Caenorhabditis elegans: one gene and its partners. The protein of the gene in region 2 interacts with the protein of the main gene of each other region in a pairwise test. Each region holds a gene or a part of one and is shown on either strand. Other genes may lie near its edges.

Region 1 (7,217 bases), on a different chromosome or scaffold from region 2:
AGAATGAATGAATAAAATTCGATAAAAAGCTAGAAAACGTGTATTGTGCAATCCAAAGCTTAAGTTTAGTATGATAGTGATATAACAGTTTTAATACTGAATACAAAAAAAATGATTAAATGCAGCAAAAAATTAAGAAGAAAACACAGTCCTTGCAAAACATTTTCAACAGAAAACACAGTTTTTGCAGACAAAATCGAGCAGAAAACACAGTTGTTCGTGACAATAGGGTAGTATTAAAGTGATTGATTGAAACAGAAAAATGTATTTAGAGTCAATTTATCCGTTGTTTAACATAATTTGCATCAAAACGTATTAACTAGCAATTTTTACAAATGTGAGTTTCTGGATTAAACTGTATTGTAGCTATCCACACATCTTTTCTTTCATATATCCATGCTATTGGAATTAATCTTATTTATTCTGTCTGAAATTAAAAATATGTTTGACACGTTTTTTGTTGAAAACTGTATTTCAAAAAACGAGGGCGTATGTGTAATACCGCACCAAACAAAGGATATGATCATTCCAAGGAATCAGGATCAAAGCTAGAAAATGTTAAACAATTTATAACCAACATAGGCTTCTGTTCAAATATTTTTAAAAAATAAACACTGCCTCTGAAAAGAGGCAAATAAATAAAACAATGAAAACAGCTACAAAAAAACAAACAACTATAAAATTTTTAAATGAAATAATTAATCGGATGGTGTCTCCACTTGAATTCCTTGTTTTTGTACAAGTCTCCAGTATATACTTCTTTTCCTTAATAGTTCTTCATGTGTTCCTTGTTCTGCAACTTTTCCGTTTTTCAGAACAGCAATGGAATCTGCATTGACTACTGTTGATAGCCGATGTGCAACAACAACAGTGGATAGTCTCTCACTTGCAGTGTCAAGAGCATTTTGAACTACTTTTTCACTGTCACTGTCCAGAGCACTAGTCGCTTCATCCAATAGAAGAACTTTTGGATTTCTCAGGATTGCTCGAGCAATCGCAATCCTTTGTTTTTGACCACCGGATAACTGAGCTCCACGTTCACCAACAAGTGTGTCCAGACCCTGTAAAGAAATAGTTTATGTAAGTTGAGCACAGTTGAAACTAGCCTGTGGGAACTGAAATACAAAGTTGAACGCATTTGCCGTTTGCAAAGCCTTTTCAAGTTCTAACTGTGGCACGGATCTTGTGAGCCCATACAAAAGGTTCTCTCTGATTGAACAGTTGAACAGAGTTGGCTCTTGTGATACCAGAGCTAAATTAGATCGAAGGTGGTTCAAATTGATATCCTCGACGTTTTCGCTGTCAATTTTCTGAAGTGAACTAGGAATTAAAAGTTCTACACGTGCGCATCAATGCTTACGACTTCTCCATCAACTGCGTGATAGAACCTCTCTAGCAATGAAATGATTGTCGACTTTCCACAACCACTTGGACCAACAAGAGCAAGGGTTTTTCCTGGGTCTACTTTCAGATTAACACCATTCAATATCATACGATCCGGCCGTTGATCATAATGAAATTGAACATTCTCTCCAATAATTTCTCCCTTTTCAATATTTTTCTTTCCATCACTGGAACTGAATGGCATCGTAGCTGGATATGTGAACAAATGGAATATTAATCCAGCTGCATGAACTGCTTTTTTGTAATCTGGGAGATATGCAGCTGCAGATCCAGCCATATTAGCTGTCATGGAAAGAGTCATTAAAACAAGATAAGTATCCATTGGAGCTACTTCTTTCCGTAAAGCTAAATATGTTCCAAATTTGAAAGAAACCGAGTACACAAACAAGAAACAACTAAGAGAGAGACCGTTTGCAGCACCCTGAACGATATTGGTTTGCTTTGTTTCAAAAAAAACACGTCAAAACTTACTTGAATAATGGCTCTTTTGAAATAAGATTTGTGAATTTTTTGTAGATGTTCAGATATTAAAGACATTATTTTATCTTCCAAATTAAGTGCTCGAACTGTTCTCACATTTTCCAACGCTTCAATCGCAGTCTAAACATTTGCATATAAAACCCGTCAGGTTCTATCGAACTTACTCTGTTACTATTTTCAAAGGCGATTGTATCTTCTTGGATAGCGGTTTCGGTGGCTGCTTCGTAACAATATTCAGCCAGGTACAACAATGGGAAAAACATCAATACCTGAAACAATAAGTTAGTAGCACAACTCTTTTGTAATGTTGTCGTTTATCAATCTCCGACTAACCTCTAGAGTCATTTTCCAACAGTACAAGGAAGCAGTTGTAATTGCGATTGAAATTGCTACCACAGTCATGATGACACATCCCAGCCGATCATCTACTGCTGCCTTGACATTAGAAGAATCCGTATTCAATCTGTTAGACAATCGAGTTGCAGAGTGATTGGGATCATCGTAAAATGCGCATGGAAGTGACAACATATGACTGAACGACTTGATGCGGAGTCGTGTGGATAATTGTTCAGAAACTTTTCCAAAGTAGTAATATTGACAATATAATGTAAGTGGACGGAACACAGCCAGAAACATGAAAGATAGCGCCCAAAGGTGACTGTAGTAGAGCATGTCTTCACCAATCATCGCGAACCCCTAACATTTAAAACAATGATAAAAGTGAATCACAAAGCGAACTCACTTCATATGTTCGTACTATCAATTGAGCCAGTATAGGATAGCTAACTCCTTGTATGGCACTTCCAAAAACTGCAATAAATAAGAAACAGTAGTCTGGTCGACATTGCTTCACAATTTCTCTGAGATTTGATTTCTTTGCTCCTTCTTTGCTGAGTTCATCTAATATTCGTTCCATATCATCGTCATGAACACCTGCGTCATTACTTGTACTTCTTTGAATTGCATAACTATGTAATGGTGATAACTCTTGTGATAGTTGTCTTGCAGCAAGTGGTGGAAGCTCTTCTAAACCCAAACAATTTTAGAAATTGAATGATGTAGCAGATATTTCTTACCATGGTCATCGTGAGATTCTAACAATTGGGCTTGAACTAGATCATTGTACACACCTCGTTTCGCAATTAGCTCATCATGATTCCCAACTTCAACAATCTGTAAAATTATGTTTCTAGACTTTTGAATTGTTGAATCACTCACTCTATGTCTAATGAAAAATCTGTAAACTTCATTGTTCCTAATTGTGTTTTTGAGAAAGCGCAACCCTGAGGTTAACTTTTTTTTAGAGCGATCACTATTTCTCTGTTACCTTTTAAAGAACCCCTGGTACACCGGAATTCCCCTTCTTGGCGTTCAGAAACTAACAGTGATCAAATTATTTATCAAATTACTCACCTCTCCTTTTTGCATCACAATAATTTTACTGGCATTTCTGATTGTTGATAATCGATGTGCCACAACTATAGTTGTTCTTCCTTGCGACGCCTGTATACACGTTTATACTTTCAGATATTAGTATGTAAACTAACGTTTTCAAGTGCTTTCTGTACAACTTGCTCACTTTCATTATCCAATGCACTGGTTGCCTCATCGAGAAGAAGAATTTTTGGATTTCGAACCAACGTTCGTGCAATTGCGATTCTTTGCTTTTGTCCTCCAGAAAGCTGTGTACCTCTCTCGCCAACTATTGTTTTGATCCCTTTTGGAAAAGAGCACACAAAATCATAAGCATTTGCTTTTCTTAAGGCTCCATAGATTTCCGGTAAAGACACATTTGGGTTTCCAAATCTAATATTTTCCTCTATCGTAGTATTAAAAAGTACTGGTTCTTGGGAAACGACTCCAATCACTCGACGAAGTCTTTTGATATTCATATCGTTCAAATCCATTCCATCAATAAATATATTTCCAGAATCAATATTGTAGTAATGAAGGAGTAACTGCACTACAGTACTTTTACCACTTCCACTAGCACCAACTAAAGCGATACATTCTCCATTTTGAACATCAAACGAGATTCCTTTCAAAACTTGTGCATCTGGTCGAGTTGGGTACGAGAATTTTACATTTTTGAAAGAAATATTTCCATTAACTTCCACTTCCACGTCGTAGTCTGTCTCGTCTTTTTCGATAACGTTGTCATCCTAAATCAAAATTGGTAAATTATTGTTTGCACTTTCCTATCAAACTCACTTTAATCAGCATCTCTGCAATGGGTGCTGTGGAAGAAATTGCACCAGCTAGGCGGGAGATATGAGGCAGTGCTTCACTAAGACAGAAGGCTCCAAACAACATATAGTGGAAAAGCTTCAAAAAACTATTCAGATGTAAGTATTGAATGAAATCATACCCTAACAACGACCGCTGTTTCCAGTGTACCAGAATAAATCATAGTTGCTCCAACATAGAGAACAACAGTGTTCAAGCTGTTACAGAAAAAGTAAGTGACACCTCTCGAAATGGAGTACATAAGAGCTCTACGAATACCATATTTTTCTCCAGCCTTCAGTTCTTCTGTATATCTGTGTTTAAAAATTCATTGGTTGTGACACTGATTGTGCTGCTACTATTTTTTAAACAACAGGCGAATACAATTTATTTGTTTTTTTTTTAATTTTTTCAAATGAAATCATAAGTTTCAATTGAAAAAATTTGCATTAAATTTTCTAACGTACAAACTGAGCTTTTTTCACGACAGTATGTGGTTATTTTGAACTTACCTTTCAATCTCAGTTTTCTGGCCATTCAAAGAACAAACTGTTTTGTATGCACCAAGTGTCTGGAAGGCTATGGACCCAGCGTTAGCATAATGCGTGTTCTGTTTTCCAGTTGTCTTCATTACACCTGCTGAGTTTATAAACCCAGAAAATGCAATTCCAAGTGAAAAAAAGATTCCATACGAAGCCAGACGCCAATCTGTATAAAATGCTAATGCAGTTCCAAGTGTAAAATCAGTAACAAATGCGATTATGAGTGCAATTTTCTCATTAAATACTTCTCGGAAACGTTCCAAGTTGCTGAAAGTATGACAACGTTTTAATTTTTTTTGTCAAGGTAAACTTACTCATTTAATACAGTGGACAAATGTCCAGTCGACACGCTATCAAAATACTGAGCATCTTTTTTTAATAAGCGTGATATATATTGTTTTCGAACGCGATATGTCGTGTTGTCTCCAACGTATTTCATGATAGCGTGCTTAAAATTTGGGCATAAATGGGGTTTGCTGTTGTCACTTTTTACCTGTAGAGATGCAAAAATAAAATACGCGCATCCGCATAAAAAGAAATGAAAGACGACCTGGTTCATTCCGCGCTCATACTCTTCATATGCTTTTTCGAGATCGGCAGGGTCTAAACAAGTTTATGCAATGTATTACAAATACTAATATATGTTATCATACCAATAGTTTTGTTGTTAATTGCATTTGTTATTGTTACCAGGACTTGAGAAACTTCTCCAAATGTGTAGCTCATAAACGGTTGGCAAAAACCCGTCATCAAAGAGAAAAGCACTCCAAGTAGAAACAAAAACTTTTCGAAACATGATGAGCATTTAAACTGGAATAAAAAACAAGTGAATAATGATGACTGTGCACTACATAAAACTCACAACAACACGAATAAAACTGCATATCTGTGATGGTTTCTTTTCATCTGATTGAGGCAAGAGAGGAGTACTGAAATTATTCGAATTTTCTTCCATTATTGACCATACTGTTAGTTATCTTCAATTGTGCCTCTTTATTGTTTCTGTTATTATATTAATATTTAGAAACAGACGAATGATGGAGGAAGAACAGAAAAAGATTAACTTATGGACTAGACTGAGACTGATAAAAACTAGTGTACTCGAGTTCATCATCAAATAGAAAAGGTTGACATTCTGGCCAATAGACAATACCCTTTCGTGCCGATTTTACAATTGGTGTCTTATTTCAGATTAGAAAATAGTTTTAAGAAACTGAAACGTAAGCTGTTGATGTATAGTGCAAGATCAAATAAACAACATTTGATCAGAAGCTGAAAAGTATATTGTATTGTACTAGCTTAAAAGTGGAGTAGCACTTGCGCGAAAAATGCTAAAAACTACTCATATGGTGCAAAAATTACTAAATATCATAATGAAACTCTTCAAAAAATTTCGGAATGTTTTTATTTACAGTCAAAATATGGAAATTAATCAGTTTTGGATAATCATAAAATTAGAAGTCGACCAAAACAAATTTTTCTACGATTGTTATACTCTAATTTTTTTTTTCTGATTATTTGTGTTAAAACATTCTGGGAGTTGGAACATGTGACATTGCTCTGGATTTTTTCAAAATTGCATATTTTATAAAAATTTGGAAATTTGTCAAAACTTTGATTGGAAATTTTGAAAATTTAAAAATTTTTGAAGTGTTTTATTATGATATTAAATCGTTTTAAATGATTATGAGTTAATTTATGAAAAATATTCACTGGCGCTTCTCCACCTTTAAGCTGAAGTGGCTTCAACAATTTATTCAAAGTCTGGTTCAAAAGTGACTGATAATGAAAAATTAAATTGTTTGAAAGAAAATACTCAGATTACGATTTTGTACTCAAAAATAAACAGAAATTTATATACAGTTTGATGAGTATTTATATCTAACAGTTGTCATTTACTCCGGTAAGTTACATTGTTTTTGGCAAATGTAAATAACTTGCTACAAATATTATTGTTTTTTATCATTCTAATATTCGAAATGAAACGCAAGATGAAGAAAAAAAACGAGAGACCAGCATGAAGAACAGACGCAGAATGAGAAAGACTAGTGTCCTCTTTTGCAGCATTGACTTGATAAATGTGGAGACCTTTTGGTAAACAAAACATTCGCAACTTACTTGTCCATCTTCCAATTAATGTATTGTTTTAGATAAGCAGAAGAGTAGGAAGAAAAATCTGAAATTACTACTTTTATGTATTGCTCAAGTATTGGATGGTATTGCGCAATACTACTCAATTCTGATGCAGACTAACGGCAGTGGACAAATATCGACCCGCCTCTTGCATTAGAACATTTGTTTTACAGATAATTGTTTGAGAAAACGTCACTTCGTGTGAGATCAAATGAACAAAGTTTGATAAGAAACTAGAATGTATGTGTTGTACTAGCAGAAATTTAAATTATGTTTGAAATTGTGATAAAAAATTGTAAGTATATACAATGACTGACTACACAGGAAAGGCATAATAATAAAGAAGAAAAACATTTTATTTGTATACTGTAGAAAATAAAAAAATTGAAATGAAGTTCTGTAAAAAGTTTTTTTGTGATTACGTTCATCCAA
Region 2 (4,554 bases):
CAGATGAATGGGTTTTTTGGGTAAGAATATATTGAATTATTTATTTTTTTCGAGTTTTCTACAGGAAAGCGTCTTCATTTCATCATTCTCATTTTTGTTCACAATCAATACACTGACCATGTTGTACAGTTCGATTCGATGGAATAATACGGCCTGGTGGCTGGCAACGGTATGTTATGCAAAATGTGAAAACGCGCTCCACGGCAATTGACAACGCCCGCCCCCAAACCATGGGTCTCGTTAGATATTTGTCGGCAAAACCGTAAATTCAAACTTTTTGACTTAATTCCGCCACTTTGGCGAAATAAGCAAAAATGAAAATAAAAACATTTGAATGTACGGATTCGCCTCCAAATACCTAACGAGACCCATGGTTTGGGGGCGGAGCGTTTTCAAATTGCCGTGGAGCGCGAAAGAAAATCAATTTCAGGTTGTCTGCGCTTTGGTGACAGTCTCGTTTCTTCTCAGTCTGTTACATGTGATGAAAAACCAAACGAAAGGTCATATTACTGTTAAACAGGAGGAGAATGTTGTGCGATTTAATACGCGGATGAACCGCCGACGGATTTGAATTTATATCAATAAATGTACAATTTGACAATTCATATAAATACTGATAATAAATACATTTAAGACACAAATAAAACGTAAGTAACTTAGAAGAAAGTGATCAGAGAACTGTGGGTTTACTATCAGATCGGATGGGGGACAAGTGGATGTAATTGAACCGAGTATATGTAAGTAATTGATTTAAATATATAACTATTCCGGGATGGATTTAGGAAGAGTAGTTGGATGAACCAATCGGGAATCAGATGATGAAGGAGTATCCGGAGATGGAGAATCCCATGAATCCGGTCTTGGTTCCGGTGATTCAGGTGGCTTAGTGGGATCATCAGTGAGAAGAGCCTTCTCCATATATTTCCTGGATATTGGCAAAGCCGTAAAAACTTGTCCGGGTCCGTTACGAAGAGGTTTTGAAGTATCACTTGTGACAGCGTCAAATGCGGGCGTACGAAGTGGAGTTTTGATAGCATCCGCGTGGGTTTCAAGACTGAAGTGAGAGTAATAGCGAACGAAGTCACTTATAGTTGTCAGGTAGACATTGCTGTGCTCGAATCCCCATCCTTCTTCGTTTTGTTCGATTAGACAATGTGAGACACGTTCTCCGTGAAGTACACTCAATACGAGCTTATCACCCTGAAAAATATTCAATTCAATTCAAAAATTAGCGTGAATGAGGATGAAAAGTTATTCTTCTGATAAAATCATAAACTAACATGAGAAGAGGATCCTCGAATCAAGAAAATACCATCTTGTGGCTCTCTTTTCAATCCAACAGCCTTGTCAAGTTGAGCGATCCGATAGCGAGCATGAATCAGAGCATTCGCAGCATTTTCCTTAGAAGTTCCACACATCAAATATTGTGCCGGTGTCCACTTCAATTCCATATCGACAAGAAGTTGAGTGACTTTCGTTGGCTCACTGTTTATCATTTCCGCTCCAGCATCAAGCATTGCAGCCATTCTCGAACAAAGTGCTGGTTCCATTTTATCATAGACTGCACTACGAAGTTCCATAAGCTTGCAGAGTCGTGTTTTTGAATTGGATCTTTTCATCGCGATTTCATCCAAAATTCCGGAGAGCGTCTTTTTCTTATCCTTTGATGACGTCAGTTCAGTGTTTATTCGTCGAATACTTTCTTCCACAAACTGCAAAATAAAAAAGATAAAATTCAAAACTATAATGGTTAAAAATTGAGGATTTGCTCTAAAATCATTTTTAAAAAACCGAGAAAAAAATTGAGCAAAAATTAATAATCCAGCTTTGAAAATATTGAGTTTTGGCTAAATAACAATTTTAAATTGAACTTCTTTTTTTTGCTTTAGAATTGTTTTTTTTTGGTTTTGGATGTTTTTTTTCTTCAAAAAACGCTTACTGTCTTATTATTTGCAAATGCTCCTTTGAGCATTTCACTTGTTGTCTGCGATCCCTGTATTTGTGTAACGACGTCTGTTTCAGCTTCTAACAAATTATTCAGTTTTCCAAGTTTAATCTCATTGTCCCGAACTGATTGATTCAAAGCATGATAGAGACTTTCAGCTCGTTCCATTTCTTGATGAGCTGAATCATATAGCTTGGCTCCTCTCTCAAATGCCAAATGTACTGCTCTCAAATTTTCCATTTCCAAGCGTTCTCTCCAATCTAAAAAAAGCATTAAATTTACTAATTTTTATTTTTTTCAATCACTCAGACGCGAAATTTTGCCACTTTCGCGATAAAAATATGGTACGAGGTCTTGAAACGACAAGAGAAATTCCGCAGCAATTAAAGTTTGAAATTACAGTATTTTTAAATTTAGCGTTTGCGTTATAAAATAATTTACCATGATCATTTTTTGCACTGAGAATCATACGCTGCTGAAGTTGCCCCTTCTTGAAAAATGGTTTTCCATTTTGAGAGTTACGACGAACAGAAACTGGATATAAAAGACGAACATCAAGTGCATCATTGAAAATATTGAGAGAAATATTTCGATGAAATTCAATTAATCTGACAACAGAATCGTGAGTTAATGAATCTGTATTGAATCCGCATTTTCCATCTTTAACAACGATTCGGAGAAGTTTCACTTGGGCGGCAAATCTGAAAAAAGGACTATTAATATTGAATACTAATTTTGAAAAACCCACTTCACAGAAAGTGTATAATCTCCAGGTGTACTAGCATTTCTCACAATAAATGATCCATCAGGTTGATCAGAAAGTGCTTTCGAAACTGCAGATCTATCAGCATCAGCCCAGTACCATCCTTGTTCCATAAGACTATGAGTGACTCCATGAGGAGTTCCAGGTGTTGTGCTCATTCTGAATCCTTATATATATATATATATATATAATTAACGGAGGAGAAGAATCTGTGGTGTTTTTGCCGAAGTAGACTAAATCTGGCACAAGACCAAGCCGAGACCAAAAAGCAAAGCATTGAAATTTGTGAAAACACCAAAAAAAACCAACAAAAAAAGTATGTATAACATGGTCTGTAGACCAATGGAAATATCAACGAGAAAAAAAATTCGAAGAATGCAAATAATTAAATAATTTTATTTGAAATATTTACACCCATAAATACTAGCAATTCGTCCCGACTATTAAGTGCTCGCTTTTTTGAAAATTTTCATCATAAGAACCATTGATACGAAGCTCATAAAAATCAGAACAATGAGCATGACCTTGAAACAGTCATAACCACATTTGTAGGCGTGACGCTCAACTCGCTCACTTTGAATCTGGAAATTTTAAGACTATTATTTGAAGTTTATATAGTGAAGAAATTACCCCGAGAGCTGTTTTATTATCATCGACTTCTTTCGCCATTAATATTGCTCTTTCTGTATCTTCTTTAATCACATCTCCAGCAGCCGACATCATCGTTTTGAATGATCTCGCCATAGTGGCCAAACTATTTGCTAGCTCCTCCTCGACAAGCTCATTTTTCATGAATTCCTGATCTTCTATAAAATTTGACGAATTTTGAACAATCATTGGATACTAATTTTTACCAGATGTGTCTTGTGCTCTATGTTTATTAGATGAAAGCAACTGCTTCCGAAGATCTGATCGATAGATGGATCGTTGAGTAGCTCGGAGTCCAGCTGCGGATTCTTTTTCAAAATCGTAACTTTCCGCCTCGTTATCTGCAATATAAACATTAAAATGAAATATTGAATAATTCAAAAACCATTCTTGGAGTCTGCAACAGTTACTTGGACATCGGGAAATACACGTGGAATTTTTTCAATCACTTTCAGGCGCTCCTCGGCTGACGACTGGAAAACTTACTGACAATTTCATAACAGTTGCGAAATTCACAAAATATTTAAAGCTGTTCAACTTGTTTTCTTTACTTAAATCTAAATTGAAAAGAGGGACATAAAATCTACGGAACATTTGCATAATATTTTAGGATTAAATTTTTAATTGAAACAAATCAAACAAATTCAAATTAAGTTTAGAAATTATGTAAAAATTTGTATCTTTAAAGCAAAATTACAAGATCGAATTTGCTTGTCTAAAATATCTACAAACCTTGCTTTCAGCTTCAGCGAGTAATTTCAGTTGCAAGACTTCCTGTCGGTACTCGTGGAGAATATCATTTGTGGTTCTGGAAAAGTAAAACTATAAATATTAAAAAATGTATTTTGAAAAACTCACTCATCGTTTTGAAGTGTATAAATCATTTTATTGAGAATCTTTGTAGCTGCAGAAACCTGAAATAAGAAAAATAATTAATTAAACAGAACTTAAAATGTGATACTTGCTTTCCAAACGTTTGCTGACATATCCTCTTTTGTCAAGCGCTTTGTTCGCTCGAGAAGTCGTAGAAATTTCAGCTCATTTTCAGAAATATACGCCATTTCATTGATGTTTTGACAAAATTAGATAAAAAAATAAAAATAAACGTTGACAACTTGAAAACAAATAAGTTCGGCCACGGCCGAGAAATACAAAAATGCAAATGCGCTCATGCGCGAAAAAATTTTCAAGTCATCCT
Region 3 (5,216 bases), on a different chromosome or scaffold from region 2:
TCTTAACTGATTCCTCAAGAACGTGCTGACGTCGGAAAAAATTCCCGCATTTTTTGTAGATCAAACCGTTATGGGACAACCTGACACCCGGAATCGCTCAGTTAACTGGAGCGCACTTGCTTTAGAAAAAAAACGTAATTTTAAGCATTTTTTAACCTAAAAAGGCAAAAATGACACAGAAAAAAAAGAAGAGAAGAGCAAATGCGCTCCACTGCCCAGAATTTCAAAATCTCAATTTCCAGATCCAAATCGGTTGCTCCAAAAAATGGATATCCGACGAATACGAAGAAATTCACTGTGCATGTCGTGGAAATCTTTGCAATAGCGACTCCTTGACTGCCACGTCACCAAAATTGCTCCAAATCGTTCACGTGTTGCTGCTGCTCCCAGCTGTTCTCTATCATCACTTCCTCGCATAGTCACCACCGCCGCCGCCAAAAATCGTATATCGTTTGACATATCTGAAACAATTTCTCCCCTCTTCACAAAAAAACCATAAACTCCCCGAATCTACTGGTACATATTTCCTATATATATATATACAATTGAATTTCAATAAGAAGTCATTTTTTTTGTTGCAATTTTTGACAAGTTCTCTTGGATTGGCTTGGGCTTGGGGACGGGCGGAACTAACATAGCATACATAGAAAAACGGGGGAAGAAAAAAATTTAAATTTTTGGTGAAAATTGGAAAAAAATGTTTGGGCGACGCGAGAGACTGGGAAAAGAATAACGATAAGATACACGAAACACTGGAAATTGGAAAAAATTAATTTTTTGGGCGGGGGTACTTGTATTCATTTTTGATAAGTTATCGGGTTATCATCATCACACGAGAGATGGGGAAGTTGGTCAGATATTCAGAAATCCATGCTGACAATCAGATCGCGTGGTTCCACTTCAACTCCAACGACACCTTGGTGAACTTCGTCGAGGACTTGAGTTACCTGGAAATTTTTTAAAATTTTAAATCTAAATTATGAAAACTTGTACTTTTGAAATTGAATTGCCGATCCGTGAAAATGGAAAGAAAATAAAATTTCCGGCAAATCGGCAATTTGCCAAAAATGAAAATTTCCGGCAAATTGGCAAACTGGCAATTTTCCAAATGACAATTTGCCGAAAATAAGAATATATGGCAAATTGACAAACCGGCAATTCGCCAAAAATGAAAATTTCCCGCAAATCGGCAATTTTTCAAAATTGATAATTTCTGGCAATTGCCAAAAATGAAAAAAGTCCGGAAAATCGATAATTTGCCAAAAATGAACATTTCCGGCAAATCGGCAACCTGCCGTAAATGACAGTTTCCGGCCAACCGGCAAATCGGCAATTTGCCAGAAATGAAAATTTCCGGCAAATCGACAATTTGCCAAAAATGAAAATTTCTGGCAAACCGGCAACTTGCCAAAAATGAAAATTTCCGGTAAATCGACAAACAGCAATTTGGCAAAAATGAAAATTTCTGGCAAATCGGCAGTTTGCCGAAAATGAAAATTTCTGGGAAATTGGCAAAACATCTATTTGCCGAAAATGAACATTTCCGGCAAATCGGAAACTTACCGAAAATGAGAATTTCTGGCAAATTGGTAAACCGGCAATTTACGAAAAAAGAAAATTTCCGGCAAAACAGCAATTTACCAAAAAAAAAAATTTCCGGCAAAACGGCAATTTGGCAAAAATTAAATTTTCCGGCAAATCGGAAAACATGCAATTTGCCCAAAACTGAAAACTTCCGGCCGAAAAGCTACGCAAGATTCTGGCAAGAATCCTAGATTTCTATGCAAGACCACGCAAGTCTACGCAGGAGTTTCACTTCATTTTTAGGCCTTTTTTATGCTCGGCAGAGCATACAAAAATAATAACCTTCGCCTTCATGGAACTGGTGATTCCCTGAGATCTTCCAGCAGACTTCAGATCTGGATGCTCGACAAGGAATTGTGGATTCTTGGCGCCCATAGTTCTTGCAAGCTTCAACTGATTGAAATCCGGAGCCGAGAATGGCATCCGCTCGATTGGCGACGGCTCTATTGTTGCAGATATCTCGTCATATCTGATGGGAACTTGGATCGGCGTCTGTGTCGGCTCAAACTCGAAATCATAAACTGAAAATTGAAAAAATAATGTTTTTTTTCTGAAAATCTGCAGAGTTACTTGTAGTGTAATGAATAACCGACGGTGGAGCACACGCCATCTTTTGAACTTTCGCCCGATATGCCTTCTCGCGGTATTGTGTATCCGGCATGATAACACCATCAACGTCGGTTTGTCCAACAGCGATGATGCTCTGTAATATTGATTTTTAAAATTAATTATTGTTAGGTTTTTTTTTGGTTATTTAGACCCAAAACGGCCAGAGCTACCAAATTTTGTGGTGAAAATTTCGGAAAAATGGCCAATTCTAGCTTAAAAGTCCAATTTTGGCCACTTTTCCGTGTCGCAACAGTCCGAAGTTTACTTTTTTGAAATATATATATATTATGTTGATTAAGCTGAAAAATTAATAAAATTAACTTTAATCAATGAAATAACGGGATTTCTAAAAAAAAGTCAACTTCGGACTGCTGCGAGACGAAAAAAGTGACCAAAATTGGAGTTTTAAGCTAGAATTTGACGTTTTTTTTCGAAATTTTGAACCAATATGGCTTTTTTTGAGAAATTTTCAGTACGTTCAGTATGGTTCATTACGAATTTCGGTAGGTTTAGGCGTTTTAATTTTGGAAGATTATATATTTTTCACATATATTCGGTTATGCAGCTTTTTCCAGGAACTGCACAAAAATGGCTGATTTCGACATGATAATCCAATTTTTTGTTCTAAAATTGATATAGAAATGCGGAAAACAGGTTGTTCGATCCAAAAATAACGATAATTTTTGTTGAAACGCTTGAAAAGACCTAAAATAGTGCCGATTTGAGGTATTTTTCAAGCTTTTCAACAAAAATTAACGTTATTTTTTAGATAGAACAACTTTTTTTCTACGTTATATCAAGTATATCAATTTTAGATCAAAAATTGGATTATCAAGAAATTTATGATTTTCTTTTTTTTTCAATTTTCCAACATCAAAACGCCCAAAACTACTGATTTTCGTGATGAACCATACTGAAAATTTCCGAAAACAGGTCAAATTCTAGCTTAAAACTCCGGATTTGGCCAGTTTTGAGCATTTGCCGGGAAAAAAAATTCCATACGTGCTGCGTGCTCTCGACAATATTGTCAAGCTGCTCCTTTTCACGGCCCTCATCCTCAACGATCTCCTCATCAAAATCACCGGATGGTGGTGACGCCGAGTCCGAATGCATTCCATGATGGTCCGATGGATACATGTTCGGCCCATCGGTGGCGTCGTAATTACTGTAACTTTCTCAAGAGTTGCAACGATTTTGGCCGGATAAAACATACTATTCGTGAACCGGATTCACGAATCCTTGATGCTGAAGAGGATTATGCTGATGTGCTCCATTCGTCGCCTGGCGATTTCCCTGCTGGAGTGGTGGATCACGAATCGGGGTGACCGAATCGTGGCGGAGCTGTGAGTATGGCGGCTCTTCTTCGCCTTGTATTCCGCAGCATCCACAGAATAGGCGGAAAATACCATCCATGTTTAGAGATGAATCTGGAAAAATTGAAGGTATTTAGGGGGAAAATAGAAATTAAATCCATTTACGAGTAGTAAAAATCGCTCAAAATTGAAAAAAAAATCACTATTTAAAGGTGGCGTATTTAGTCGAATTTTTATTGCTTGATTAGACTCAAAATTGTCTGAAAAAGCCGAATTTCAAAATGAAACTTCTTGAAAACTTCTCAAAAAAATTTATGACGGCTCAAAAAATGGCCTAAAATTAGTTAAAATTTGAAATTTGACTTGTCAGCGGCTGAAACCATTTTTTTTGAAATCACCGTCAAATTTTGAGTATACAATGTAATTGCGTTTTCGACTCGATTTAGGTATTTTAAAGCGAGATTTGGTGAAATTTTTTAAAAAAATCTCGCCGTTCATCGACTTTAAAATACCTAAATCGAGTTGAAAACGCACGATAATTAAATTGTAAACCCACAATTTGACGGTGATTTCAAAAAAAATAGCTCCCAGCCGCTGACAAGTCAAATTTCAAATTTTAACTAATTTTAGGCCAGTTTTTGAGAAGTTTTCAAGAAGTTTCATTTTGAAATTCGGCTTTTTCAGACAATTTTGGATCAAATAAAGCAATAAAAATTCGACTGCACAATCTTTAAAGGAGAATTTCGTAATTAGATTTTTCAAAAACCCCACAAATTTTTTATGGCGGTTCAAAAATCGAAAAAAAAAAATTTCGGCTAAAATCTTTAAATTTTGCTATCTTTTCCGTGTTTCAGCAGTCGTAAATTATATTTTTAAACAAAATAAACCACTTTGGGCTTATTTTCAGCTAATAACAGCAAAAAAACCCGGATTTTTCAATTTTCTAGCGGAAATTACGGTTGATGAGTGCATTCTTTCCTGAATGCGGATTTTAAAACATTTAATTAATTTTAGCGAAAAAGTGCGTTCAAAAACGCAAAATTACTTTCAAATGGCATGAAATGTGGAAAAAGTGAGAGAATTAAGTATTCCAGCTAAATTTTCATGTTTTTTCTGCGTTTTCATTGAATTTTAATTTTTAAAAATCTTTAAAATTCATTTTAGAACTCCAAATTGCCTTTAAAAAAACGAAAATACAAAGAACAAACAGGTAAAAATGGGCAAAATCAACATTGAAAATGATAAAAACAAAAGGGTGAAAGCGCGCTCCATTGAACTCTCGAATCTCTGCGTCTCTGCGAAACGCGCGCTGTCTCGCTGCCACACACATCCAATAAAGCTGGTCACATGATAAATAAAAAGGTTTTTGGAAACAATATTTATACGAATTTAGGCCCAGAAAATCGGAGAAAAAATCAATAAATCGTGTAAATTATGTGGGAAAACATTCAGAATTCGGTGGTCTTATCAAAAAAGTTTATTCGACAGCGGCGGCTTATCAGGTGAAAATAATGATAAAATTGACAAAGTTTGCAATTTGGAAGACCAACATAAAGACGTACTCCACTTTGAAATAGAACTTTATTCGTTCCCAGCTGAAATATTGATATTTTTTGAGAAAAAAACACTAATTATTACGGTAACACAAAATTTTGAGAAATCGTACTGCGCAACATATTTGACGCGCAAAATATAGCGAAAACTCATAGC

The links. The genes of interacting proteins can lie anywhere in the genome.
Region 1: the proteins of aap-1 (region 2) and pgp-6 interact in a two-hybrid assay, tested with the Caenorhabditis elegans proteins (one large-scale study listed by BioGRID).
Region 3: the proteins of aap-1 (region 2) and Y45G5AL.1 interact in a two-hybrid assay, tested with the Caenorhabditis elegans proteins (one large-scale study listed by BioGRID).

Annotation. Positions count from the first base shown.
Region 1 is NC_003284.9:10,870,648-10,877,864, forward strand, and holds pgp-6 (P-GlycoProtein related), read right to left. Parts: upstream 5,655-7,217; 5' UTR 5,608-5,654; coding exon 5,515-5,607; intron 5,463-5,514; coding exon 5,306-5,462; intron 5,256-5,305; coding exon 5,146-5,255; intron 5,101-5,145; coding exon 4,967-5,100; intron 4,920-4,966; coding exon 4,623-4,919; intron 4,425-4,622; coding exon 4,253-4,424; intron 4,210-4,252; coding exon 4,096-4,209; intron 4,047-4,095; coding exon 3,432-4,046; intron 3,388-3,431; coding exon 3,298-3,387; intron 3,058-3,297; coding exon 2,961-3,057; intron 2,911-2,960; coding exon 2,627-2,910; intron 2,581-2,626; coding exon 2,218-2,580; intron 2,154-2,217; coding exon 2,049-2,153; intron 2,005-2,048; coding exon 1,876-2,004; intron 1,826-1,875; coding exon 1,361-1,825; intron 1,311-1,360; coding exon 1,107-1,310; intron 1,062-1,106; coding exon 699-1,061; 3' UTR 554-698; downstream 1-553.
Region 2 is NC_003279.8:5,106,156-5,110,709, reverse strand, and holds aap-1 (SH2 domain-containing protein), read right to left. Parts: upstream 2,868-4,554; 5' UTR 2,867-2,867; coding exon 2,694-2,866; intron 2,647-2,693; coding exon 2,387-2,646; intron 2,206-2,386; coding exon 1,940-2,205; intron 1,713-1,939; coding exon 1,281-1,712; intron 1,201-1,280; coding exon 763-1,200; 3' UTR 572-762; downstream 1-571. Other genes in the region: Y110A7A.21 (MARVEL domain-containing protein), read left to right, coding at 1-20, 65-169, 431-571; use-1 (Vesicle transport protein USE1), read right to left, coding at 3,152-3,289, 3,339-3,514, 3,563-3,697, 3,742-3,829, 4,089-4,164, 4,215-4,270, 4,322-4,417.
Region 3 is NC_003283.11:4,142,909-4,148,124, reverse strand, and holds Y45G5AL.1 (Late endosomal/lysosomal adaptor and MAPK and MTOR activator 1), read right to left. Parts: upstream 3,621-5,216; 5' UTR 3,607-3,620; coding exon 3,407-3,606; intron 3,365-3,406; coding exon 3,196-3,364; intron 2,288-3,195; coding exon 2,155-2,287; intron 2,106-2,154; coding exon 1,867-2,105; intron 948-1,866; coding exon 861-947; 3' UTR 554-860; downstream 1-553. Other genes in the region: Y45G5AM.6 (Activin_recp domain-containing protein), read left to right, coding at 243-419; lgc-29 (Neurotransmitter-gated ion-channel ligand-binding domain-containing protein), read right to left, coding at 5,005-5,101.